Linked DNA regions of Ovis aries. The protein of the gene in region 1 purifies or fractionates together with the protein of each later gene. This does not show direct contact. Links are inferred from orthologs where the notes say so. Each region holds a gene or a part of one and is shown in the gene's direction. Other genes may lie near its edges.

What was found.
Region 2: the proteins of CDK8 (region 1) and MED18 purify together in Homo sapiens (affinity purification with mass spectrometry; 5 studies listed by BioGRID and IntAct, counting the BioPlex papers as one, with this or other methods). This does not show direct contact. The link is inferred for Ovis aries from reciprocal best matches to the Homo sapiens genes CDK8 and MED18.
Region 3: the proteins of CDK8 (region 1) and MED12L purify together in Homo sapiens (affinity purification with mass spectrometry; 3 studies listed by BioGRID and IntAct, counting the BioPlex papers as one, with this or other methods). This does not show direct contact. The link is inferred for Ovis aries from reciprocal best matches to the Homo sapiens genes CDK8 and MED12L.
Region 4: the proteins of CDK8 (region 1) and MED8 purify together in Homo sapiens (affinity purification with mass spectrometry; 7 studies listed by BioGRID and IntAct, counting the BioPlex papers as one, with this or other methods). This does not show direct contact. The link is inferred for Ovis aries from reciprocal best matches to the Homo sapiens genes CDK8 and MED8.
Region 5: the proteins of CDK8 (region 1) and MED25 purify together in Homo sapiens (affinity purification with mass spectrometry; 8 studies listed by BioGRID and IntAct, counting the BioPlex papers as one, with this or other methods). This does not show direct contact. The link is inferred for Ovis aries from reciprocal best matches to the Homo sapiens genes CDK8 and MED25.
Region 6: the proteins of CDK8 (region 1) and MED7 purify together in Homo sapiens (affinity purification with mass spectrometry; 7 studies listed by BioGRID and IntAct, counting the BioPlex papers as one, with this or other methods). This does not show direct contact. The link is inferred for Ovis aries from reciprocal best matches to the Homo sapiens genes CDK8 and MED7.
Region 7: the proteins of CDK8 (region 1) and MED23 purify together in Homo sapiens (affinity purification with mass spectrometry; 10 studies listed by BioGRID and IntAct, counting the BioPlex papers as one, with this or other methods). This does not show direct contact. The link is inferred for Ovis aries from reciprocal best matches to the Homo sapiens genes CDK8 and MED23.

Annotation. Positions count from the first base shown.
Region 1 is NC_056063.1:33,370,270-33,373,769, reverse strand, and holds part of CDK8 (cyclin-dependent kinase 8), read left to right. Parts: intron 1-559; coding exon 560-703; intron 704-3,175; coding exon 3,176-3,245; intron 3,246-3,500.
Region 2 is NC_056055.1:238,803,761-238,807,797, reverse strand, and holds the start of MED18 (mediator of RNA polymerase II transcription subunit 18), read left to right. Parts: upstream 1-1,237; 5' UTR 1,238-1,385; exon of another isoform or gene 1,386-1,396; intron 1,397-2,171; exon of another isoform or gene 2,172-2,236; 5' UTR 2,237-2,242; coding exon 2,243-2,315; intron 2,316-4,037. UniProt on the Homo sapiens protein: Component of the Mediator complex, a coactivator involved in the regulated transcription of nearly all RNA polymerase II-dependent genes.
Region 3 is NC_056054.1:237,452,519-237,456,018, reverse strand, and holds part of MED12L (mediator of RNA polymerase II transcription subunit 12-like protein), read left to right. Parts: intron 1-2,258; coding exon 2,259-2,370; intron 2,371-3,500. UniProt on the Homo sapiens protein: May be a component of the Mediator complex, a coactivator involved in the regulated transcription of nearly all RNA polymerase II-dependent genes.
Region 4 is NC_056054.1:18,067,155-18,071,196, reverse strand, and holds the start of MED8 (mediator of RNA polymerase II transcription subunit 8), read left to right. Parts: upstream 1-1,242; 5' UTR 1,243-1,264; coding exon 1,265-1,270; exon of another isoform or gene 1,271-2,359; intron 2,360-2,605; coding exon 2,606-2,724; intron 2,725-3,730; coding exon 3,731-3,875; intron 3,876-4,042. Other genes in the region: KICSTOR complex protein SZT2, read right to left, coding at 1,060-1,086. UniProt on the Homo sapiens protein: Component of the Mediator complex, a coactivator involved in the regulated transcription of nearly all RNA polymerase II-dependent genes.
Region 5 is NC_056067.1:55,925,195-55,928,694, forward strand, and holds part of MED25 (mediator of RNA polymerase II transcription subunit 25), read left to right. Parts: intron 1-47; coding exon of another isoform or gene 48-145; exon of another isoform or gene 146-179; intron 180-1,832; coding exon 1,833-2,077; 3' UTR 2,078-3,500. UniProt on the Homo sapiens protein: Component of the Mediator complex, a coactivator involved in the regulated transcription of nearly all RNA polymerase II-dependent genes.
Region 6 is NC_056058.1:66,390,428-66,393,546, reverse strand, and holds part of MED7 (mediator of RNA polymerase II transcription subunit 7), read left to right. Parts: intron 1-2,569; 5' UTR 2,570-2,586; coding exon 2,587-3,119. UniProt on the Homo sapiens protein: Component of the Mediator complex, a coactivator involved in the regulated transcription of nearly all RNA polymerase II-dependent genes.
Region 7 is NC_056061.1:57,044,705-57,048,204, reverse strand, and holds part of MED23 (mediator of RNA polymerase II transcription subunit 23), read left to right. Parts: coding exon 1-71; intron 72-1,706; exon of another isoform or gene 1,707-1,905; intron 1,906-2,137; coding exon 2,138-2,249; intron 2,250-3,500. UniProt on the Homo sapiens protein: Required for transcriptional activation subsequent to the assembly of the pre-initiation complex. Component of the Mediator complex, a coactivator involved in the regulated transcription of nearly all RNA polymerase II-dependent genes.

The DNA of each region.
Region 1 (3,500 bases):
GAGGATAATTATTAAACTTTACAAGCTAATAAGTCCATAAACTAGATAAAAAATAAAAAATGTTTTTTACCTCAAAAAACGGTGCTGATTGTTTTCAGCAAGTATGCCCAATTTCCAAGGCTGTTTGGGTTTTCTGTTTTTTTTTGTTTGTTTGTTTAGTTTTATTTATTTATGGTTCCTGTGCCCTGTGTGCAGCTTTGTATGTATTTCACAGATAAGGTAATGTTTGAAGCACTTAAACTCACCAAAAATTTTAGATAATAAATTTGATTGAACTTGGAATGAAACCACTGGGTGGGATGGAGGTATAACAAGGAATGAAATACGGGTGGATGGGGTGGGAATATATATTTACAAACAACATTTTTTATATTTATAATTGCTTAGGATTTAATATGACTTATTAGGGGAGAAAAAGAATGAAAAAACACTCCCTGCCAAGATAAAGATGCATTTTCTTTTGGAAAGAACCACTTTATTTTCCTCCTTTCTTTTTCTTTTTTCCTTTCTTTTTTTTTTTTTTCTTTTCTCTTTTTTTTTGTTTGTTTTTGTTTTAAAGATATTTGGGCTATAGGGTGTATATTTGCAGAACTACTAACGTCAGAACCAATATTTCACTGTCGACAAGAGGACATCAAAACTAGTAATCCTTATCACCATGACCAGCTGGACAGAATATTCAATGTAATGGGATTTCCTGCAGGTACACATTATATTTTTGTTTTTGTTTTTAAATCACTGTTGTTTGAACTTAGATGTCTTCATTGAAAGGATGTGTATTTTTAGCTGATGAAAGCTACTCTTACTCAGTTCTTTATATTTACGACTTGCATTAATCAAAGACCCTTAGAAATAGCAAAATTTGTAGAGTTCACATATTAGCATAAAAATATTTATGGGTTTCTTGAATTTGAGGAGTGTATTTTTGTTTCATTTTGGTTTTTGGTTTTGTTTTGTTTAATATTTAAAATGATAAAATATTTGCAATATCTGTGTTTAAAAAGTGCCTTTAGCTCTCACCATTGGCAACTGAATAGAATTCAGGAGCATGTCTTTTTGTCTGATAGCACTTAATAATAATGTCATTGTTTGGTATTTGAATACAGATTTTGAAGACTGTTTCTACTTGAAACACATTGTATTGAATCGTAGCATTTTTTGCTCTATAACCCTTGTCAGTAAGAACATCCTTTCCAGTTAGAACAGGCAGGATGTGAGTGAAGGCCCAGCCCTGCACAGCAAGTGAGCCTGCTCTGACTGCCGCTGGGAGGTGGTGGTTGGGGCATTTCGTCACGGGCTTTAGAGCTCCAGCCCCAGCCCAGTCCTTGTGCCGCAGAACAGAAGTCCATTACTCTCCATTTGAAACGCCTGCATAGTTTTGGCTAGTCAAGTACTTCTTATTGAAATGATAAACAATAAGTTTATTATTAATAAATATGTTAATAATTTAAAATATCAATAACTTATTGAAATAATAATAAGAAACAATACGTTGTTTCTTATTAGGAATTTTTCTCAGATCAGTGGCTCAAAACTAATACAGAAATATCTGGGAGTTATAATTTCACATTCCCTTTAATTATCAGTAAGTGCAAAGTAGCTACCTTTGTCCAGAATTGACCAACATTTCTACAAAGATTGCTTTGTTGAGATGGGAGTTTCATTTATTCACTAAAGATTTATTGAGCACCTGCCATGTTTCAGGCACTGTGTTAAGTGTAAAATATTGTTGATATAACAGACGTGATTCTTGCCCTCTTGGAGTTGACACTCAGCTGCTCTAAGTAGAATGTTGAAAGAATAGGAGTAGTTTGAGTAGATGGAGAAGAATGACCTTTTCTTCCCACTTCTGAATGCACTCATCAATTCAGGGGTCCCCCGGGGAAGGAGCCTGACTTACAGGGCCTTGGAGGAGGGGTGGCCTCCACAGGAGATGGTTCTGAAATGGTTCTTAGGGCGTGGTTCCACGTTTGGGATCTGCTTATAGGGAATCTGAAAACCAAGCAATAGAATTTAGATTTGATGTGCTAAAGAAGGAGAATCTGTGATAAGTTCTTGAGAACTAGTGCTGTGATTTGTGTTCTACTTTAGAATGGTTTCTATGGCAGGGGTATGTAAAAATTTAAGAGGGGTAACTGAAGTCAGGAAACCATCTTTTACCTGCAGCAGTACTCCACGTGTAAAGTGATTTGGATGGAGAAGAAAGGATAATGGTATAATTTTTTAGAGTAAGCCTGTAATTGGGAGAAAAAAATAAAAGATTATCTTAGGATTTCTACTTGAGAAATTGACAGAAATAAAGAAATTGGAACAAGGAAGTAGTCAAGGAGAAAATTCCTCTTAGGAGTTTAAAGTATGTATTTAGTTTACAATATGTGGTATCTGGAGGCTAGATAGCAGATATTTTTATAAGCCAGTTGAGAGAGAAGCTAACCTCTGGAGGTCATTTAAAAGCTGAGGTGCCATGAAGCTACCTGGTAGAGAATGTGGGCACCTGTGGACTCTCAGTAACTCCTCCAATGGACACAGCAAGCTTCTCAAACCGCGTGTGGTGTTTGAGTAACTCTAATGTCAGCAAAACTGACCAAGATGTTTCCACCTGATGGGTCTGGTAGCTGGGATTGCTTTTGTTATTATTATTGAAACTAGCCCAGATACTAGCTGACTTGTTCATATGCTAGTACATCCGACTCTGTGTTTCAGACAGCTGTAACTGCTTACCTTGATTACCATGTAAAGCAGTGTATTTAATAAGGGGAGCGTAAGGAGGGCCGTATAAAAAGGACAGCTTACAGCTGCTGAGGGGGAAGATACTGCATTTATTGTTGAAAAGATTGGTTGCTGGATTAACCAAGACATGGTGGGACAAAAGTGGTTTTACAGATAAAAATAAAAGTATTTAATAATGGAAATATTTGTTTATAACTTGTTGGTGTCTTAGTATAAAAACTGAGATAACTTATAGTAAAACATAGAGAAAATAGACATTTAAAAACAGCATATGGAGAATGCATTTACAGTTAAAGATGTTTATTGCAGCTCACCATTTATTCGAAGTCTGTGCTTTCAGGGAGGTTAAAATGTAGGACATGTAATGAGAAGTGAAGTCACCTTTATTAAAGTTCTTAATAATAGGAACCTAGACAATATAAAATTGTATCAATGTGTTTCACAGATAAAGATTGGGAAGATATAAAAAAGATGCCTGAACATTCAACATTAATGAAAGATTTCAGAAGAAATACGTAAGTTGGCAAGAAAATAGACTGTTGATTTTTGCTTTTCTAGAATACTCAGGATAAGATTGAATACTCAGCATGATAGAATAGTTGACAGAAGACTAGTCTGTTAAATAATTTTACTTATTTACTCTAATAAATGTTTTTGCATTGTGGTAGTCTTCATTTCTTAAGATGTTTGAATGGTGATACAAGAAGGTGAATATCTAATATCAGCAGCTGATTTGGCTATGAGGAAAAAAGTCAGTTCATTTCTTTGCA
Region 2 (4,037 bases), on another chromosome or scaffold:
GGTGTTTACAGCTCTCCAACATGTTTACTTCCAAACGCGACCATCCTTTCTTGATGGGAACAGTGGCCACCGAAGTCCAGTGTTTTATTCCATGAAACTGGTTCGGATCGGTTGAATTCGATCCAGTGAAACCAACAGACCCTCCCACCAGAGACAGATGAGATTCTGGCCTTTATTAAGCATACATGGTGAACACCTAGTCCTGGCTGTACTTGGCAACCCTCCTTCTGTTTTGATTCCCACTCCTCCCAACATGTGTGTACTTTTGACCTACTCTGAGCCGGAGTGAGTGAAGTTGCTCAGTCGTGTCCGACTCTTTGCGATCCCATAGACTGTAGCCTGCCAGGCTCCTCCGGCCATGGAATTTTCCAGGCAAAAGTACTGGAGTGGGTTGCCATTTCCTTCTCCAGGGGATCAGACGCTTTACCATCTGAGCCACCAGGGAAGCCCACTCTGAGCTCGACTCCTGATCTATTCGAGCGACCTTGTCCTGTCTACAAATGGACAGGCAATAAGATGACTTTAACCCAGAAGCAGCACCTCAGCAAGGGAAATGAAAACATCAGAAGCCAAACTGATGTAAGGTGTGGCGGCGGCGGTGGTTAGGAGACTGAGTCCCACTGAGGCGGGTTGCACGCCCCCCAGGAGGCGCAGGTGGGCCCCACCCCAGCCCCGCGGGGCCGCGCACGCCGGCCGGAGGGAGGGGCCAGATGAGGACCAAAAGTCTCCAAGCGCAGCTCTTCCTTAGGAGCGGGAGCTGTTCTGAGTGAACCTCCGGCCGTGCCCTCCTCCAGGGGATCCTCCCGACCCAGGGATCCAACCAGAGGCTTCTGTGTCTCCTGCAGGCAGATTCATTACCGCTGAGCAACTGGGAAGTTCTATCATCAGATACCCACCCAAAATAAGTTTCTGTTTTACGACAATCTCTCCTCTTTTTCTGAAGCTCTCTTCCCCAGGGTCTCTTTGTCCTTTCAGGTCCAAGAGATTTCCTGGACAAAAACACGTCCAGGTCTTCACAGTTGAAAAAAATATTTTCCTGGAAGATGGCGTATGACTGCAATGCCGCCTGAATCTCCCAAAGGACCCCTCCTAAGGAGGCCGCCATCTTCCGTGCAGCATCGGAGTTTGCGCATGCGCCCCTGCTTGCCGTACAGCGGAAGAGACTTTTTTTGTCCTCTCGGCACCCTTACGTCGCAGAGTGGCGGTGTCGAGGTTTGCGCGACGAAAGGTTTTTGTCAGACGTGGGAAGAGGCGAGAGAATTGTTGCACTGCCTAGGGGTTTTCAAGTTTAGGGCTGGGGGTGGTGATTGTTGCTCGAAAGCTCCGAGGTGCTCGGGTGAATACGGTCCCCCGCTTTCCTGGAAGAGGCTGGAACGCGCTTGGCGGTGTGTTTTTGGTATAAGTGGGCACGTTTTGATGCTGGGTTTAGGAGGCCCTAAAGCATCATTGGGGCTTCCCTAGTAAACTCAGACGGTAAAGCATCCGCCTGCAATGCAGGAGACCCGGGTTTGATCCCTGAATTGGGAAGATTCCCCCGGAGAAGGAAATGGCAACCCACTCCAGTATCCTTGCCTGGAAAGCCCCATGGATAGAGAAGCCAGGCCTAAGTCGATGGGGTCACAAAGAGTCGGACACGACTGAACGACTAACACAAAGCATCAGTGGAAAGAACTTCGTGCTTTCGCTTCAATCTCTTTAAAAGGTTTTTAGAGAGGTGGAACGCCTAGATTTTAGTCTGGTATAGGTTCTGCCACCCACCTATTGTGTGTCCTTAGGCTCCTCCCCAAGCCTCAACATCCTCATCTGTAAATTGAAGGGCATACAAGAGTCCTTAAGTCACTTTTCAGTCTTTAGTTGCAGGTCCATTATGTCATCTGAGCCACAAAGACTTGGGGGTTAATATCATGGCCTCATTTTAGAAGAAAGACATTGAGTCCCAGGGTGCACAGAAAACCATTGAAGGGTTTCAGACCTTGAGACTGAAAGATTATGCTGTAACTCCATGATCAGGCCTCCTTTGTGTATTTCTGGATCACCTGAAACTGGCCTATAGCAGTTACTAAAGTTTTGAATGGGTGGATGAATGAATTTTCATCTCCAGGCCAATGACCCAAGCAGATCTGGTCTCTCTCTGCCTCTCCCATGTATTAACAAGTATAACTCTTCCCCAGGTGTATCCTGTGTGTTACCTGACTGGGGATTCCAAATCTAGTTCTGTCGTTTTCAACTTAAACAGATAAACATGGAGGCACCTCCAGTCACCATGATGCCTGTCACCGGGGGCACCATTAACATGATGGAGTACCTGCTGCAGGGTAAGTGAACTAGGGAGCTTGAATTACCTGTTTTCCTGTTTTCTGTTCCGCTTTCCATGGAGATGAGAGGCTGTTATATAAAAGCTACCTGCATAATTTCTGGCACCCTTTTATTCCCCAATTTACTTTTAATTATGGTCACAAATACATAACATTAAGTTTACCATATTAAACATTTTTAAGCATACAGTTCAGTAATGTTAAGTATTTCACATTGTTGTATAGCTAATCTCTAGAACTTTTTCATCTTGCAGAATTGAAATTCTATTCCTGTTAAACACTAATTCCTCCTTTCCCCTTGCCGTAGGCCTTGGCAACAACCTTTCTACTTGATGTTTCTAATTTTGACAACGTTAGATAACCTCATAGGAGTGGAAGCATTCAGTATGTGTCTTTTTATGACTGGCTTATTTCACTTAGTATAATATCCTCAACATTAACCCTTTCGCATGTAAGAGAATCTCCTTTTAAAAATCTGAATAATGTTCCACTGTATGTACATACCATATTTTCTTTATTCGTTTGTCTGTCAGACATTTGGATTGCTTCTACCCAAATTGTTATCATAGATAATACTCAGTGAACATGAGTGTGCACATACCTCTTCAAGATCCTGCTTTGGATTCTTTAGGAGTGAATGCCCAGAAGTGAGATTAATAGATCATATGGTAATGTTATGATACTGTTATTAGTTCCATCTTCTAGATCAGGAAATAGAAGTGAAGTAACTTTCCCAGATGAGAAAGCTCAAGACCAGGGAGGGTTATGATTTTCTGGAGGTCATTTAATCTTTAGTGGAAGAATTTAGACTTTAATTCAGATCATCCGTTTAGTAACTTACAATGGACAAAATAAAATTGTTAATTGCACTCCTCAATCTGCCTCTACTTCAGCCTTTCCCATCTCAGTAAGTGCCGCTGTCAGTCATCAGTTGCTTAAGCCATGCATTCAGGAATCAATCTCAGAGAAAAGAAAATAGAGTCTATGGGGTTGCACAGAGTCGGGCACAACTGAAGCGACTTAGCAGCAGCAGCAGCATGGCATGCAGGATCTTAGCTCCTGAACCAGGGATGAAACCTGGGTCCCCTGCATTGGGAGCACCAAGTCCTAACCACTGGATGACCAGGGAATTCCTGTGAACAGTCAGCCTAGATTTCTAGATCTAGTCATCTAGATGTCTGTTTCTGACCTTTTGCCATATTTGCTCTATCTTTTTCCTTTTGCCGTTTTTGAAGACAGATTCAGATCTCGTAACATTTTACCCCCAAACACTTTCAGTATTCATCTCTAAAAAAGCAAGCGTATTTTCCTTAATAACCCCAATACTATCATTATTACCTGAAAGAGTCATAGTATATTTCTGATATCATCTAATATATAATTCATATTCAGAAGTTTCCTCCATCTTGTGTTTTGATCCAGGGCATAATATCATCTCATGCATTACATATGAAAACCGTGTCTCTTAAGCCTTTTTTAACTTGGACCCGCCTCCCCTCATTGCCACTTTTTTTCATGTGACCCTGTCTGGTTGAAGCATCCATACCAATTTTCCTAGAATGATCTTTTTAAAATGTAAATCCAGTCATATCTTTCCTTGTTGCATGGAGAATAAAGTGTGGAGCTAATAACTGCCCAGTGGCCGTACAATAAAATACAGCCTTTAGCATGGGCGACACATAAGTCCTGCCTGCTTTGGCCCATCCCAAATGCTCATTTCAT
Region 3 (3,500 bases), on another chromosome or scaffold:
ATGCACTAGCATTCAGTTCCAGAGAAGGCAATGGCACCCTACTCCAGTACACTTGCCTGGAAAATCCCATGGACGGAGGAGCCTGGAAGGCTGCAGTCCATGGGGTCGCTGACGGTTGGACACGACTGAGCGACTTCACTTTCACTTTTCACTTTCATGCATTGGAGAAGGAAATGGCAACCCACTCCAGTGTTCTTGCCTAGAGAATCCCAGGGATGGGGAAGCCTGGTGGGCTGCCGTCTATGGTCTGCACAGAGTCGGACACAACTGAAGTGATTTAGCAGCAGCAGCAGCATTCAATTCTGCCTGTGTACCCTAATCACTGCTGCACTATTAAAATACTGACTTCTCAGCTCTGCTTCAGGCCTGCTGAATCAGGTGTGTATATCCACAGTCCCTGTATTCAGCAGTTGTTTGGGTTTTTTTCTTTTTATTTAGGCACTTGAATTTCATGGAATAATTTATACTTCTATTATGCTGCACCCTGAAATAAGTTACTAATATTTTTAACATTTAGGGCTCTTGTTCTAGCTTATATATTAGGCTAGATCCTAATATATAGGATCCTCCAAGTTGAGTCTTCCAAGTTGAATGTTTTTTAAGTTTTGTGGCCTGGAAAAGGTTTAAGTAATTATATTAGAAAAATGATTATGTTACTGAAAAAGAACATAAACACATTCTAATGTAAAACCATGATGAATTTAGTACCTCAGAGGTAAAAGGAAATTCCTAACATTGAAAAATAAAAACTCTGAGCCTTTTGAACATTTTGGGTTTCTTATGCCCTAGTCGGTAATGATTTCTAATGACCTAATCAGTAGCTGCCATTTACTAAGGCCTTATGAAATGTCATCCTCAATATAGAATTCATTACATACATATGTGAAGTTTTAAAATCTCCCAGCAGTCATACTGAGGTGCTTTCATTATGTCCTTTTTACAGAAGAAGAAACTGAGGCACTAGAAAGTTAAGTAAATTTATCAAGGACACATAGCTACGAAGGTGTGAAGCTGAAACCCAGGTGGTCTGGCCTCTGAGTCTATGCTCTTAACTGAAGCACATTTTGGTTTTGGCCTAGCTTTGCACATATGTTGCTTGGCATCTGGTTGCTTCATCGCCTTTGCCAGTATTTATTAACCAACCAGATAACTCAGTTTTAATTCTCACAGTTGATTGGCTAACGATGGCATGTACGTTGCCTCACTTCCCACAGGAATCCTAGATGGTACTGCAGAGATTGAAGGTGGCTCTTCCTAAGTTAGTCTCTCTAAGCTCTGCTAGTGTAAAATGAAGCGGACTGAAATATTTTGATCTCCATCTCATTTTAAGAAATCTTTCTTTGCAGTGTAGAAAAATTAGTTTATCAATATGTCAGGTGTTTCTGATCATGTAAGAAATAAGGCTAAAATGCCAATTTAAAATAAATTTTAAAAATCAAATATCTTAAAACTCTTTTACAAGTCAAGCCTGTGGGATGTAGTGGAGCTGTGCACTAGGTCACTGGCCAGCAGAATGGTTTTGGAGGCCTTAGACCTCGGTGCTCATCTCAGTTCTACTCATGCCCATCTAATTGGCCTTGAGAAATGTGCTGAAAAACAACACAAGCACAACAATCCTAATAGGCCTGTTTCCTGGACTGTAAATAAGAATGGTGGCTCAGTGATAAAGAATCTATGGCAATACAGGAGACAGTTTCACTCCCTGGGTTGAGAAGATTCCCTGAAAAAGGAAATGGCAACCCATTCCAGTATTCTTGCCTGAAAAATTTCATGGGCAGAGGAGCCTAGTGGGCTAAAGCATATGGGATTGCAAAGAATCAGACGTGACTTTAGTAACTAAACAACAACAAAATGCAAATACTACGTGAGAGAAGTTTAAAAGTTTTTCTTTTTTTCTGTGTATACAGTGATATTCTTCCTGCTATGTATCTTTAAATTCAGTTTACTGATACAAACCATACATTTTCTTCTTCCTTCCCCGCCCCCCGCTCAGATGCAGTATGAATTTATGCTCGTTTGCAGATGCCTTCAAGGGCAAGAGAACATATTAAATTATTTAGAAGCATTACAGTGGTTTTAAACCTTATTAGTTAGAGATATGATTTAACTTTTCAAGTAGTCTTGGCTATTTGCTACTTCCCTCCCTTTTCTAATAGTAAAATGAATAAGAGCCAGTAACCCAAGGGCAGGAAATCAGTGTTGCACAGGAAGGAATCTGTTCTTTCTAACTAGATCTGCTGTTATTACTTCCTTTATAGTATGTCTCTTTTGAGTCAACAACCATTCCTCTCACTGGTCCTTACCTGCCTTAAGGGACAAGATGAACAACGAGAAGGCCTTCTAACATCTCTGCAGAATCAAGTTAACCAGGTAAAGTACAGTAGAATATTGAGCTAGGCAAGTATTTTCCTAATGGCATTCATTTGTTTTCCTTTCAAACACTGAGCTTAAGCTAATAAGGGCAAAGCATGTTTTGATTAGATGTAGGAAAGCACCACCCATGTCCTGTTCTCCTACCTGGCATTCTGGTCACCATGAGATTAGCAATAGTATAATATGAATTAGGCATTGGACAGATGTCTATGAAAGTTACATTTTGCAGATTGCACATAACTTTGTCATATCTGCTCCTAAGAGAGCTTTGTCTCTTAGGAGAGCTCCTGGAGCAGTCTGTGTTGCAGGGCACATGTCAGTAACAAAGAGAGCCTGCCCTCTCTCCAGGTCTTCTACTGGGCTTCCACATGGCAGGGAAAGTCTCAGCTTGAGCTCTGTAGGTTCAAAACCCAGTTTTACTGCCAGAACTATAGTGATGCTGGTCTAGGGCACAAGATGTGTGCATGCTTGCACATGCTACATCGCTTTAGTTGTGTCCCACTCTTTGCAACCTTGTGGACTGTAACCCTTCAGGCTCCCCTGTCCGTGGGATTCTCCAGGCAAGAATACTGTAGTGGATTGCCTTGTCCTCCTCCAGGGGTCTTCCCAATCTAGAGATTGAACCTGCATCTCATGAATCTCAGGCGTTGGAGGGCAGGTTCTATACCACAAGCACCACCTGGGAAGTCCCAGGGCACAAGATACTCATTGCTGAATCAGAAGGCATTTTTAGTTCATTTACAAAGATTTGGGACTTTGCCTTTCCACCAGCTGTAATTCTCATGGTCACTATTTGAAACACATATGTTCTGTGTGCCATGAGGAAACTGAGTGATTAAACTGGAATTTGAAAGTATAGAATGGAGAAGAGTGAGTAGATGTTTTATCCTATAGTAGTGCCTAATGGAGCCTTCCCACTCGGCTGTTAATTCTAGATACTGTGTCTTCTTTAATGGTACTGGATGAACCTGAACAAGACACTTATTCGTCTCTAATCATCTGCTACCTTTTGGATATGTGAGATTTATCTCTGCACAACAGCCAGAGTGATCCTTTTAAAGTGTAAACCACATGTTTTTCTGGTGCCCCAAAATGTTGCAGTGTTTCTTATTGTGTGTATGTGTTCG
Region 4 (4,042 bases), on another chromosome or scaffold:
ACCTGTTTTGGAGTCCTGGCTCTGCCACTTACTAGCTGTGCAACTTTGTTACTCTTAAAACCTCTGTGCCTCAGTTTCCTCAACTGAAAAATGGGGATAAGTGTCTACTGTGTAGGGTTGAGAGTAATCTTTGACATTGGTAAAGCGCTAAGATGGTCTCTGGGACACAGTAAGCATTCGATAGGTAAGGATTCAATACATGATTATACACCTCTCACCCTTCCCATCCACTCACATGTTCTCCTGTAACATTGGGCAACTCTCCTAGTGATGTTTTCTTTCCAAATCTGACATTTTAGACTTCTAATTACAAAACTCTGCCACTCCCCAGCTGAGAGTAGCACTTGGGTAAGGTACTTCACTTCCCTCGATTTTTAGTTTGTCTGTATATGGAAATGGGTATTGTCACCTTCCTTGCACAAGTCTGAACCACACAATGTATACAAAAGTTCCTTGCATGGTCCTTCGTACTTAATGGATGCTTCATTTGCATTTTCCCATTTAAAACGTGTGATCCTCACAATAGACCTGAAGATAGATATTTTACAAAGAAGGAAACAGGATCCGGGAAGTCAAGATTTGCCCAAAGTTGCACAGATAGCTACAGGGCAGCGCCAATACCAGAACGAGGTTTCACTCTGAATCCAACGTTTTTTCATGAAATCTAAGCTGCTCTCCAATTGCATGAGCGCTAGAACCTAATTAATTTATGCTGTTTATGGCATTCCAATAATATTTGAATGAGGCAGCAACCGGCAAACCTGCCCACTGAAACTGCAACAGAAGATCAAAATACAGATTTTCTGAATGCCATTACGAGGTCAAAGAACCCAAGAGCCCTAGAGTAGAGAATCGTGGATTAAATTTCGGCAAACAAAACTGAGCCACGAATTCCTCCTCTAGGCCTCCCCGAGGAAAGTAGGGGTGAGGAGATGCTACTATTGGGCCTTCAGGAGGGCCAGGCGGCCCCCAGACCCGGAGGAGGCCACGGCCGCGCCTGGCCGCCGGACCCTCCCCCTCGGATCTACAGGCCCAGCGCTGCGCCCGCCCGCCCCTCACCTCCGGCTCCGGGCGCTCCGAGGCCATCACACAGCCCTCCCGCGCCGGCCCGGGCCAGAGAAGATGCTCCGCTCCTGACCCCTGACCCGGAGGTCTCGCGACTGGCGGGGCCGGAAGTGAGTGGGAGGGTCGAGTTCTGAGCTTTCTAATTGGCCTACTTGGGAACCGGAAGAGGAAGTGATTGACACCGCCCCCCGCCGCAGCAATGCAGGTGAGGACCGGTTTGGCGCTAGCGACGGGTAGCTAGCTTGGGGTAACGAGACAGAAAGTGGGCTGGCCGAGGAGAGAGTGAGGAGTTAGGGATGAGAGGACTTGGTCGAGACCGCGACTGTGAGATAAAGGGACGCGCGATGGGGACGAGGACCTCTGGAGAGGGATAGGGGTGGAGCCCGGCTGACAGGAGACAGAAACTGCGGTTAGGTTGGGACGGAGAAGGCAGCACTGTCTTGCTAGGGTGTGGAAAAAGGATCAAGTTGTTGATAGGGTGTGGAAAAGGATCAAGTTGAAATTTGGGAAGGTGCAGTCCAAGGAAGACGGCTGAAGAAAGAGGTGGATTGGGCTCGGGCTCAGGCCCCGGCCTAGACGTTGGATGTTGACAGAACAGAGGATCTAACTGGAGAGAAGCCCGAGGGTGGAAGGAATTGTGGGACCGTGGTGGCCAGAAGCCAGACTAAATAATCTGAGGCCGTGGGTGGAACCCGGCTCGTGTCCTCCACATTCGGGGTTTTGCAGTTCTGTTTCATTCTTCCTAGTGTGTACCCCTAGTAGTTAAAGGGTGAAATGAGATAAAACTGGAGACCCCTCAGCTTTTAATATAGTTTGCCTAGTGCTTAGGGGCATGTGCGGTTTGGTTGCTGTTTTGTTTTGTTTTTCATTTGTCACTGTTTGTTGCAGAAGGGTAGTTGTCAGTACATTTTTATAGGTTGACTAAGCTTGCGAAAGGGGCACAGGAATATTGGCACAGCAATAAAGTGAGTGCAGATTGATTTAGCAAGGAGGAGGTTGAAACAGCAAATGCTGAGGGAAGAGGAAGGTGACGGTGGCAGTATTCAGAGGAGCCTTCCTGTATAGGTAGGTTTTCAGAGATTATGTCATTGCCAAGAACAGCCAGGTTCACAAGGCAGGTTCTAGAACATAGGACGTCAGAGTACGTCTGCTGCTGAGGTGTGCCGAACAGAATAAATCCCAGGCATTACGTCTGGTGAAAATTGTCCAGTGAGGGAGAACAGATACAAACCAAGCCTAATATAGAGAAACAGTCACGCCCGGATTAAAAGCGATGAGAGGAAGGAATCAGTAGGTAAGAGGAATTGAGGTCAGATGAATGGGTTTTAAGGTCTAAGGGTTGATGCTGTCTGTGATCCTAACTCCAAATAGGGGTGGAGCCCGGCTGACAGGAGACAGAAACAGCCTGACTGTCCCTGTGCCAATGAGATTCTGTGTCACTGTCCTGGTGTTGCACACTGTCACCCTGGCTTTTCAGCCTTCCTCTATATGTGTCATCCTTACACTCAGCTGAGTAACCAACCTATTCCTATTGGCTCAGAGGGAGGAAAAACAGCTTGAGGCATCATTAGATGCACTGCTGAGTCAAGTGGCTGATCTGAAGAACTCACTGGGGAGTTTCATTTACAAGCTGGAGAACGAGTATGACCGGCTGACCTGGTAAGAGTTGCCAGGGCAAGCTGGGGAGGGCTCTATGGGTGGGGGCTAGGCCACCTGCTGCACAGGGTACCTCCTCCAGCATTTATCACTTTGTGAACATCTTTTGATTTAGAAAGAGCTGGCTTTCCCAACATTTAACACTGAAGTTGGCCTTGGACCTCAACTTTAAGGGTAGTAGAGAAATGCCCAATTTCTCAACCCAGGTTCTTTCTAGCTTTTGATTCTCCCTGTTTGACTTCTCCAGGATGAGGTCCTCCTGCAGTGGGTCCTCCCACCACAGTATTCATACTGGATTTCTTGCACGGGTTTTGCCAAGTCTTTTAGGTCCAATCTAGGAAAGTTTGGATCTGGAAAGGGATCTTTCACCCGGTTTCTGAAGTTCTAGTGATAATAGTGTAGCCATCGTTCCTATTTTGCCATTGTCCTCACCCCATTCAAATGTAGTAGCTCCTCGTGATCTATCAGGGGTAAGTTCTAAGACCCACTGTGGATTCCCGAAACTATGATAGTACTGAATCCTATTCTGTATATACTGTGGGTTGTTGTTTTTTTTTTTCTATACTACTTGTGTGGGTACCGTATACGGTATGGATATGCTGGACAAAGGGGTGATCAACATCCTGGGTAGGACAGAGTGGGATGAAGCAAGATTTCATCACACTCCTCAGAACACCTCCCAATTTAAAAACATGGATTGTTTATTTCCTGGATTTATCATTTAATATTTTTGGACTGTGGTTGACACGGGTAGACGAAACCTCAGAAAGTGAAACTTAGGATAAGTGGGGATTGCTATAATGACCTGTTTTTTTTCTCCATCTGTGTCAGAAACTCAAAGTGTATCCCTCTTTCTTAACCCCATAATCCCTGCGAGCCAGTCTAGTTCCTGCCCAGGCCAGCATAGGGCTATGAGTGTTTTGGGGGTGAGTCTGGTTATTCCTAGTCCGAGGGACCCCTTTGAGGCTCCTTTACCAGGAACATGCTGACATCTTCTTACCACCACCAGGCCATCTGTCCTGGACAGCTTTGCCTTGCTTTCTGGACAGCTGAACACTCTGAACAAGGTCTTGAAGCATGAAAAGACACCACTGTTCCGCAACCAGGTCATCATCCCTCTGGTGTTGTCCCCAGACCGAGATGAAGATCTCATGGTAAGAGGAGGAGAGGGATGCAGCTTAGGAAACAAAGCCCTTAAATGAGGACTGACAGCACAGTGGTTGGTTTCTATCTAGAAATTTTGAATATGCAGTAGTGTGTGGCAATAAGTGGGGGCTACATTTTGGAGGCCTTGCTTTTTGTCCTTCTGTCCTATTTCAAT
Region 5 (3,500 bases), on another chromosome or scaffold:
GCCCCAGGGACCACCGGGAGATGCAGTCCCTTCCCACTGCCCCCCAGGTCAGATGCTGCTCAGCGGGGGGCCCCGGGGCCCGGTCCCCCAGCCGGGCCTGCAGCCCAGCGTCATGGAGGACGACATCCTCATGGACCTCATCTGAACCCCGACACCCAATAAAGTTCCTTTTAACACACGCCCCGGCTCCCGTCACTGACATCCCCCAGGACTGGGCAGGAGGAGATGGGGGGAGACACCTCTGCCCTTGTTCTCGATTCAACAGACGCCCCTGAGGCCCCGGGCTGGTGAGGCCGGGGCCTCAGCGGTGAGTGAGGCCATCTGGTACAGCCTGGCTTCCGGGAGGTGAGGAGGCTGTAGGCAGAGGTCATAGGACCACGAGCACCTATGGAGGTAGAGAGGGTACCAGGCAGGCCCAGAGGAGGCCTGTGGGCCAGCCAGGCTGGGGTCTGTGAGCGGCAGTCAGCAAGGCCGTGAGGGAAGGTGGTTACAGTCTAGGTGCCGAGATGACAGGAACGTGTTGAGGCAGGAGGAAGCCTGGTATGGTCAGAGGACAAGTCAGCTGAGGCCTCTGGGAGCACGAGCCTTTGGTGGGAAAGGAGGGCCTGGAGAGGCGGGGAGGGAGCTCAGATTCCAAACTGAGCAGCTGGAGGCTTGTCCGGGGGGTGCGGAATGGCTGCAGGAGGCCAGGCCCGGGGGCCAGGCCCGGGTCGGTTGGGTGTCAGCCCCCTGTGGGCTGCGGGATGTGATGGGGCAAGATAGGAGGCAGGGAGGAGCCGAGGGTGATGTTCGTGGGGAGGGAGAGCACAGAGGAGCGGCCAGAGTTGGGGGGCAGGAGGGGTGAGGCCAGAAACTGGCGTGCCCATGTGGAAAAAGTTGCGGGTGTAGGGTGGGGTCAAGGGTGGTCCCCAGGACCTGGCCTGGGTGCTGGTAGACGGCGGGCCTTCCTGAGGCAGGAGCCGGGAGAAGGAGCCAGTGGTGATCGCTGATGGTCTGGGACATCGGAGGGACCGAGGCCACGCTGGGAGCCCAGGGTGTGTCCTTAGCGCAGCGTGTGTGCTTGGTGGTTGAAGACACAGGAACGGAAGAGGTCTCGTGGCAAGAGCAGTCAGAGACCAGGCTTCTGGGGCTTTGGACAGAGTGGACAGTGAGGCCGTCTTAGTGATGGGAGACACGGTGGGGATGTGAGGAGGAGATACAGGTTTGGGGTGTAACGAGGCAAGGGGCCCGAGGCTGTCCCTAGGGAGACATCCAAGGGGCAGCTGCTCTGGCCTGTGAGCAGAGACTTAGTTGTCTGTTGTCAGACTGACCCCGGAGCAGTGATGCTCAGAGTGTGGTCTAGAGGTGGACCACCAGTGTCCGCATTGTTTGAGATGCCTGTTAGGATCAGATGCCCAGATCCCCTCCCAGGAGAGAGGTTGCAATCTGGTGGCCCCTGGGCCACTCTACAGATGAGTTTTGTTTGGCCTTCCCTGTGTTAGGCTATGTGGCATTTTTTTCCCTAATGAGTTAGTTGTAAAAATCAGGATGATTCTCTCTCTCAAACACCCACACATACACACACAAAATCTGTAGTCTTGTCTTCTCTTGACAAGTCAGAAGATCTGGCTCCCCTGGGTCCACCCTCCCGCCCAGCAAACAACGGGCTGGAGCCGTCCCTCTGCACGGGGCGTGTGCTCTCTGGTTCGCCACAGTCCCCACCACTCCCTCCTGACCCCCACACCACGAGGCAGAAGGCTGTCGCCTTCGCCACAGGGCTGGCACGGCTGGTGTCCCCGGGGTAGTATTCGGAGACAGTGAAATCTTTCTTGTACCCATGTCTCTACCAAAAGTGGCAAAACGAAAGAGAGAACGAGAGGGCCACGTGTTTCGAGAGAAATGGGAGCGAGCCTATTTCTTTGTGGAGGTGAAGAGCATGCCTACGTGCTTAATATGCAAAAAAATCGTGTCTGTGTTGAAAGAATACAACCTGAAGCGTCACTATGAATCCAAGCACAGTAAGAGCTTCGACCAGTACACGGAGCAGACGCGAGACGCAATTCTCAATGAACTGAAGAAGGGCCTCAAGTGTCAGTAGGGCCGGTTTCGGAAAGCCGGCGGGAGCAGCGGCGTGGCTGCCGCTCGAGGCTCAGGAGCCACATGGCGCGAATCACCCGGGCGTTCCAGCCCACGGACATCCAGTTTATAAGGGAGCCGAAGAGACGCCCCCCGGACAGAAACCCTCGTCTGCTTGGACCATCGTCTGAGTCCAGCAGGCATCCGCGTCTCGTGGGAGGGGAAGAGAAACCTGAAGATCGACACATCCAGTTGCTTGACCGAGTCAGATCAGTCGTGGCCTTTACTATCGCTGCTCATGAACTATCACCACCCAGTTAGCTTTATTTATTTGTGGCGTGGAGAATCTCGATGTGACCGAAGAAAGCTGTGACATGGTGCCGAGGCAGGCCCGACCCTGGGAAGTGACTTGTTTTCTGTGTGTCAAGAGAAACACACTTTTCACGAAAGCTGGTCTAAACACCTAAGCACAGCTACAGACTGCGGTGGTGATCAAACCATCCATGTCCCTGGGGATGCAGGCGGGTCGCCTCCATCCGAGGGGACATCATTGGCAGAGACTCAAGTCAGGTCATCGCATCAATTACCAGGCACTGACTTTGCCGTGAGAGGTCAGTGGAACACACGACACGGCATCCGTGACAGGGTTTTGTACCTTAACCACGGGCAGGCTGGTGATGAACTTGACCCAGTGTGTTTTATAGAAGCTCTGCGACCTTGTGACATGGGGAAGCAGTCTGAACTGTTGCGGTCCATCAACTTAGCTCATTTCAGGTGAGCCAGAAGCCACACCTTGGTCCCCCTGAGAAGGTCAGTCAGAGACTTTGGGTCAAAGTTCCTACCCTTCTGAACACTTGTTCTCCCAAGGACATTTACAAACAGCTACTTGAATGTATGATCATGTTCACCCAGTCCAGGCAGAAATGGGGACGCCATCGGCAGGGAGTATTCTGACTCCCTTTCCGTGGATGCAGATGGTCTCCAGAAATGAAGGGCATGGCCTGGACAGCGTCCACTCAACTCGTGGGGCTAAAGATCAAACTGCCCCAAGGCTCCCGGCCTCCAGACATGATGAAAACGAACGAACACTGCCCCATTTGCTTTTCTTGGTTGCTGTCGATCGTGTGAGCACGGACCACAAGTACTAGCTGCTGAGCTCTAGGGCAGTGGGCTGCCTCAGAAGACGACAGCCCTCACCGCTCTCCAGCAGTCGCCTGAATCCCGTGTCTGGAAGCGCCCACACTTGTGAGCAGCTGTTTTCCGTTACATAACTGAAATCAAGTTCAATGCTGCCCCCAGCTTCAGGAGTCCAGGTCGAGTTCTCAGCCACCCAACCCTTGACATCCAGGGGTGGCATGGATGAGACCCACCCCCTGGCTTCATAGTCCAGGGAGCAGAAGAATTACGAAAGAGAAAACAAAAAAATTTAGTAATTAAATATTTCT
Region 6 (3,119 bases), on another chromosome or scaffold:
GCAAAAATCACACCTGGGCGAGAACCACTGATAGAAATGCTAATAAAAGCTATGCAGTTGACTGAGGTCATCCCAAGAAGAACATAAAACAGAGGCCTAAAACTAGTGGGTCGCAGACCACAGAGGTTGTTAGAGATAAATTCTTTTTGACTTCACAGTACTTGACAGATTCCAGAATTAATTGCTAGTATTTTTAAAAACTGAGAAATTCCCCATAAAAATCTGGATTTTTCCTTCCTTTCTTGAAAAATCAAGACTAAGGTGCAGTGAATCTTAATTCATGAGTGAATGGTAGTGGCTGGAGGCTTTGAGGTCTGGCTTGGAGTTGCTCTGTTCTCTCTAATCCCTGCCCCTGCATGTGTAACTCTATATTCCGTGTCTTTTCCCTTTGGCTTTTGAGTTTGTGACTCTGTAGGACACTCCTCTATGCATGCCAGCATTAAAACTTGGATAGAGAAGGAGGAGCAGTAAAGGAGACTGAGAGGGAGCCTCCAGTAAGGTAGGAGGAAAACATAAATGTAAGATCACAGACGCTGAGGGAGAAGGGGACTTGGTTGAAAAGAAGAAAATGGTGCTGAGAGATTAAGATCACCTTAGAAAAATGTCCATTGAATTTGGTCATGTGATTGTTGATTAATTTGATTAGTATTTGTGGAGGAAGGAGGTTGATTCCAGATTGGATATTGATAAAAATGGATAAACAGAAAGCTAGTAGAGCAGTGAAGTGTAGCTTGGTATAGTTAGAGTAACTCATCACAGTATCCAGTTGACTCCCAGTAGTATCCAGTTCACCACTATAGGTTGGTGGAAACTCAGGACTGCCCCATAGTTGCCCTTAGTAACTCAGAAATTCCAAGTATGAATCTGCCTCCAGTATATTACTTGCTATCTCTGATGTTGGATTGTATAATTAAATCTTGAAAATCTGGTAAGATTAGTCGAAATGAGCACTCAGGATCTTCTCATTTTATGATATACCTAAGCTTAAAATGGAATAGATAGAGGTTATTGTGGTTATTGAAGATATATTTGAGTTTGAAACTTCTGTAGTGGATGTAGAAAAGTTAGTGAATCTATAAAAATTTGTAAAGTATATTGTAGAAAAAAAAGAAGTTGAATTGGATCACAGAAGCTCAGATGATGTGAGTTTGTTTAGACTAGAGCAGTGTTAATTTTGTCAGTGTTCCTTAGAGTTACAGGTGTTTGTTTTGGAAATCAATCTGTAATATAAAACAAGTGATTATAACATGGAGATGGGGAGACAGCATGTGTAGTTTGGCTGTAGAGAGGATAGAGAAATGAGGCATAACTGGTGAGGGGTGTGGAATCCAGACTGTTTCACTTATAGATGAAAATATAGTTGACCCATGAACAACTGGGAGGTTAGGGATGCCCAGCCTCTGCACAGTATAACTTAGAATTGACCTTTTGTATCTGTCATTCCTTCTTATTTGTGGTTCTGCATCTGAGGATTTAACCAAACATGGGTCTTGTTTTTACTTATTTACTAAGTCATGTCTGACTCTTGCAACTCCATGGACTAGCCCGCCAGGCTCCTCTGGGATTTCCCAGGCAAGAATACTGGAGTGGGTTGCCATTTCCCTCCCCAGGAGATCTTCTTGACCCAGGGATCAAACCCACATCTCTTGTCCTGGCAGGTGGGTTCTTTATCACTGAGTCACCAGGGAAGCCCCATAAATCTTGTAGTACTCTAGTATTTACTATTGAAAAAAATCCACATGTGAGTGGACTTTTGCAAGTTCAAAACGATGTTGTCCAGTGATCAGCTATATCAGTTCAGTTCAGTCGCTCAGTCGTGTCTGACTCTTTGCGATCCCATGGACTGCAGCACACCAGGCTTCCCAGTCCATCACCAACTCCTGGAGCTTACTCAAACTCATATCCATGAAGTCGATGATGCCATCCAACCATCTCATCTGTCGTCCCCTTCTCCTCTTGCCTTCAATCTTTCCCAGCATCAGAGTCTTTTCAAATGAGTCGGTTCTTCACATCAGGTGGCCAAAGTATTGGAGTTTCAGCTTCAGCATCAGTCCTTCCAATGAATATTCAGGACTAATTTCCTTTAGAATGGACTGGTTGGATCTCCTTGCAGTCCAGGGGACTCTCAAGAGTCTTCTCCAACACCACAGTTCAAAAGCATCAATTGTTCGGTGCTCAGCTTTTCTTTATAGTACAACTCTCACATCCATACATGATTACTGGAAAAACCATAGCTTTGAAGGTCAGCTGTATACTACAGTAGTTTTTTGTGCTGATGAAAATGTTAAGTAGAGCTGGAAAAATACTTGAATGATTGAGTATATAATGCTAATTAGAGAAGGATAGCAGCTTTTCCCTGTTGTAAATGTTAGTTTTAGAGATGACGGAGATAATTTTTGTCTTGGGCACCGAACAGCCATGGGAGAATAGGGAAAATATTCTGTCATTAATCACTGAATGTGACAGGTTTGTTTTGTAGCTCCACTCTCAATCTTTGGTCTCTTTGTGTGTGTGTGTTTGTTATGTTTTGTTTTCCTCTTATTTTTTGTTTGATGGTTTATTTCTGTAGGTTCTTGATCTTCCACAATGGGTGAGCCACAGCAAGTGAGTGCCCTCCCACCCCCTCCGATGCAGTACATCAAGGAGTATACAGATGAAAATATTCAAGAAGGCCTCGCTCCCAAGCCTCCACCTCCAATAAAGGACAGTTACATGATGTTTGGCAACCAGTTCCAGTGTGATGATCTTATCATCCGCCCTTTAGAAAGTCAGGGTATTGAACGACTTCATCCTATGCAGTTTGATCACAAGAAAGAACTGAGAAAACTCAATATGTCTATCCTTATTAATTTCTTAGACCTCTTAGATATCTTGATAAGGAGCCCTGGGAGTATAAAACGAGAAGAGAAGCTAGAAGATCTTAAGCTGCTTTTTGTACATGTACATCATCTCATAAATGAATACCGACCCCACCAAGCAAGAGAGACCTTGAGAGTCATGATGGAGGTGCAGAAACGTCAACGTCTTGAGACAGCTGAGAGGTTTCAAAAGCATCTGGAACGAGTCATTGAGATGATTCAGAATTGCTTGGCTTCTCTGCCTGATGATTTGCCTCATTC
Region 7 (3,500 bases), on another chromosome or scaffold:
AGTCCTAAAAGAATTTCTTTTCTTTATGACTGCTTAGCAATGGCAGTCGAGACTGGTCTCCTTCCACCCAGGTATGGTTAATGATGAATATGAACAATCTGAAATATTTTCTTTTTTTTTAATTAACGTTTAGAAATTGGTTGAGGTGATTGTTGTAAAAGGATAAGAGAATAAAGAAGGCAGTTACAGTCAACAAAAAGTGCTTCGTAGTATCTCAGTTTTAATTTCGAGGATGCAGTATTCTTAAAATTGTATACTTCAGGTGCTCAAAACCAGGCAGGCTTTGCCTTTTAGCCCAGGGATTAAAATCACTCACTTTGACAAGCTTTTCTAGGTAGTGTTTGTTGTATTTGTTATAGTCACTTGTTTGTTGAATTTTTTAGATTCCACATATAAGTGATGTCATATAGTATTTGTTGTTCTCTGTCTGACTTATTTTACTTAGCATAATACTCTAATAGTCTGTCCATGTTATTGCAAATGGCAAAATTTCATTCTTTTTTTATGGATGAGTAGTACACTGTGCGGAGAAGGCAATGGCACCCCACTCCAGTACTCTTGCCTGGAAAATCCCATGGATGGAGGAGCCTGGTAGGCTGCAGTCCATGGGGTCGCTAAGAGTCGAACACGACTGAGCGACTTCACTTTGACTTTTCACTTCCATGCATTGGAGAAGGAAATGTCAACCCACTCCAGTGTTCTTGCCTGGAGGATCCCAGGGACGGGGGAGCCTGGTGGGCTGCCGTCTATGGGGTAGCACAGAGTCAGACACGGCTGAAGTGACTTAGCAGTAGCAGCAGTAGCAGTATACTGTGTGTGTGTGTGAGATTGAGAGGGACATCTTTATCCATTCATCTGTTGAGGGACACTTAGGTTGCTTTCTTATCTTGGCAATTATAAATAATGCTGCTATGACCATTGGGATGTGTGTATCTTTTCAGATTAGTGTTTTTGTATTTTTTAGTTATATACCCAGGAGTGAAATTCCTGGGTCAGTTCCAGTTAACTTTTGCTGCATGATGAATTGCCTCAATACTTCATGGCTTAAAACAGTAATAATCCTTTTATTATTAACATTCACAATTACAGTGCTTGCTTGGACAAGGAGTAGGAAGGATTTTCTCAGGTTTTGTGTTTGCAATCGGATGGTGGCTATGACTGGAGTCATGACAAAGATTTCCCCATTCATATGCCTAACTGTCACCTGAGAGACATCAGCTGGCACTATTGGCCAGAACCTGCATATGCCTTCTCTGTGTGACCTTGACTTTCTCACAGTGTAGTGGAGTCTAGGAGCAACCATTCATAAGAGGGCTAGGCAGAAGCTGTATCACTTTGCCTTGAAAGCCTTTCCATTTGCCAGTCTTGGACCTGCCCAAACTGAGGGATAGATTTTTGTTTCTACCCTTTTGACATTGATACTCTTCCTGGGAGGAGCATCAATATCACATTTTAGAAGAGCACGTGGGGTCGAAAGTCTTATTGCAGCCATCTTGGAAAAACACAGTTTGCCACTAATTGGTTAATGATACACATTTAACCAATAGCTTTTGGTACATTTCTTTCTAGCAAAAATATAACATAATTAATATTAGTTCTACTTTGGAGAAGGCAATGGCACCCGATTCCAGTACTCTTGCCTGGAAAATCTCATGGACGGAGGAGCCTGGTAGGCTGCAGTCCATGGGGTTGCGAAGAGTCAGACACGACTGAGCGACTTCCCTTTCACTTTCATGCATTGGAGAAGGAAATGGCAACCCACTCCAGTGTTCTTGCCTGGAGAATCCCAGGGACGGGGAAGCCTGGTGGGCTGCCGTCTATGGGGTCGCACAGAGTCGGGCACGACTGAAGCGTCTTAGCAGCAGCAGCAGTTCTACTTTAGGACTTCCCTGGTGGCTCAAGACGGTAAGGAGTCTGCTTTGGGTTTAGTCCTACTCTGGGTTAAGTCTTTCATATAAATAAAAAATATAAAATGCTTTATGTAATTTTTTGAAAGTGTGCTTGAGTAATGTACCTTTATGACAATTATTAGCACTTACTGTGACAAATATAATATCCAGAGTTTGTGGACCTTGGCTATTAGAGAACTTACAAAACTCCTGTCTTGTAACTGGAATGGGTATTCCTTTTTTTCTAGGATGGTTTGTGAATCCCTGATAAACTCTGACACACTTGAATGGGAAAGAACACAGCTTTGGGCCTTAACATTTAAACTGGTTCGGAAAATAATTGGAGGGGTGGATTACAAGGTATTGTTTTTTCTGATTATAAAAAGTAATCGCTGTCAGATACTAATTTTTCAGGGTCTATTAATTTCACAGAAGAGAAATGAAGTGGAAGCATTTATAAAATCTGTCTCTTTTTTGTTGTATTTCCTGAAAGAGTTTAAAATTGCCCAGTGTTTCCCACAGCTCTCTGCTCCTCTCCCAACAGTCTTAAAAGTGCAGGTGGCTGGTAAACTTCTGTGACAAATAGGGAGTCACCAGGCAGACTCGGTTCTCTCATGCCACAGATCTTATGATCGTGGGGCCCCTGTCCAGTGGAAAGGCAAAGAGCAGGGAGGTGTGGAACTGAGAAGGGATGCAGGCATCAGCTGACAAAGGGAGCAAGTCCTGCTTCACCTTGGCCACCTTGGGCACTGTCATTCCTTAACTGGTATCTTCAGCACTCTGCTCTTGACCAAAACCAATAGCACACACACTCTAATTGTGTCTCATAACACAGCTCAGGAGCTCCACAGCTGCAGAAGCTTCTGCTTCATTCAAGCCACTTTGGTTATTGTCTCTTGAAAGACTTGTGGATACCTGACCCTGTGCATTATATCTGTATTTTCACTGATCTCAAATGGTTTAACTGATAATTATTGGCCAGAGTCATGATATCGTACAAAATTAGTTCTAAGAAGCCTTTTCTGATTATTTTCTATTTACTTGTACTTCGCTTTCCTTAGCAGGTTAATATGTAGTTTTGTACAAATAAGCACCTTATTTGTATGGTGCTTCATAATTGTTTCTTTCATGTATATGTTCTGTCTTTTACAAGACTGATCACATAGTTTATACTATGGAATGAAATGTCTTCCCTGTGTATTAGATTCTGCTTTGAAATCATGCAACTGGTAATAGATCTGAATAGATGACCAGTTAGCAGAATAGCCTTATTGGCTAAGTTTGAGGGGTTAAAATATGTGATGGATGATGAGAAAGAGGGAATGAAGTTAGAATATATACCAAAAGGAAGGTGCAGAAAAGGTTGTCTGCCAAAAAGTTGAATATTTATTGTCCATGTTTTTCAGAGTATTTTCAAGTTCTTCCAAATATATTTTTGTCTGTTAAGCTCAAACTAAACTTTTTGGTCCCTCATAATAATAGAAACTTTTCTAATGTTATAAAGCTGAACGGAATGTGGAAAGTTTAATTTTTATCTATAAGTGATTTCCTTTGTTCATTCATATGGCAAGCCATTCTTTAGATAGAATTCTGCTTTGGAACATGACACTT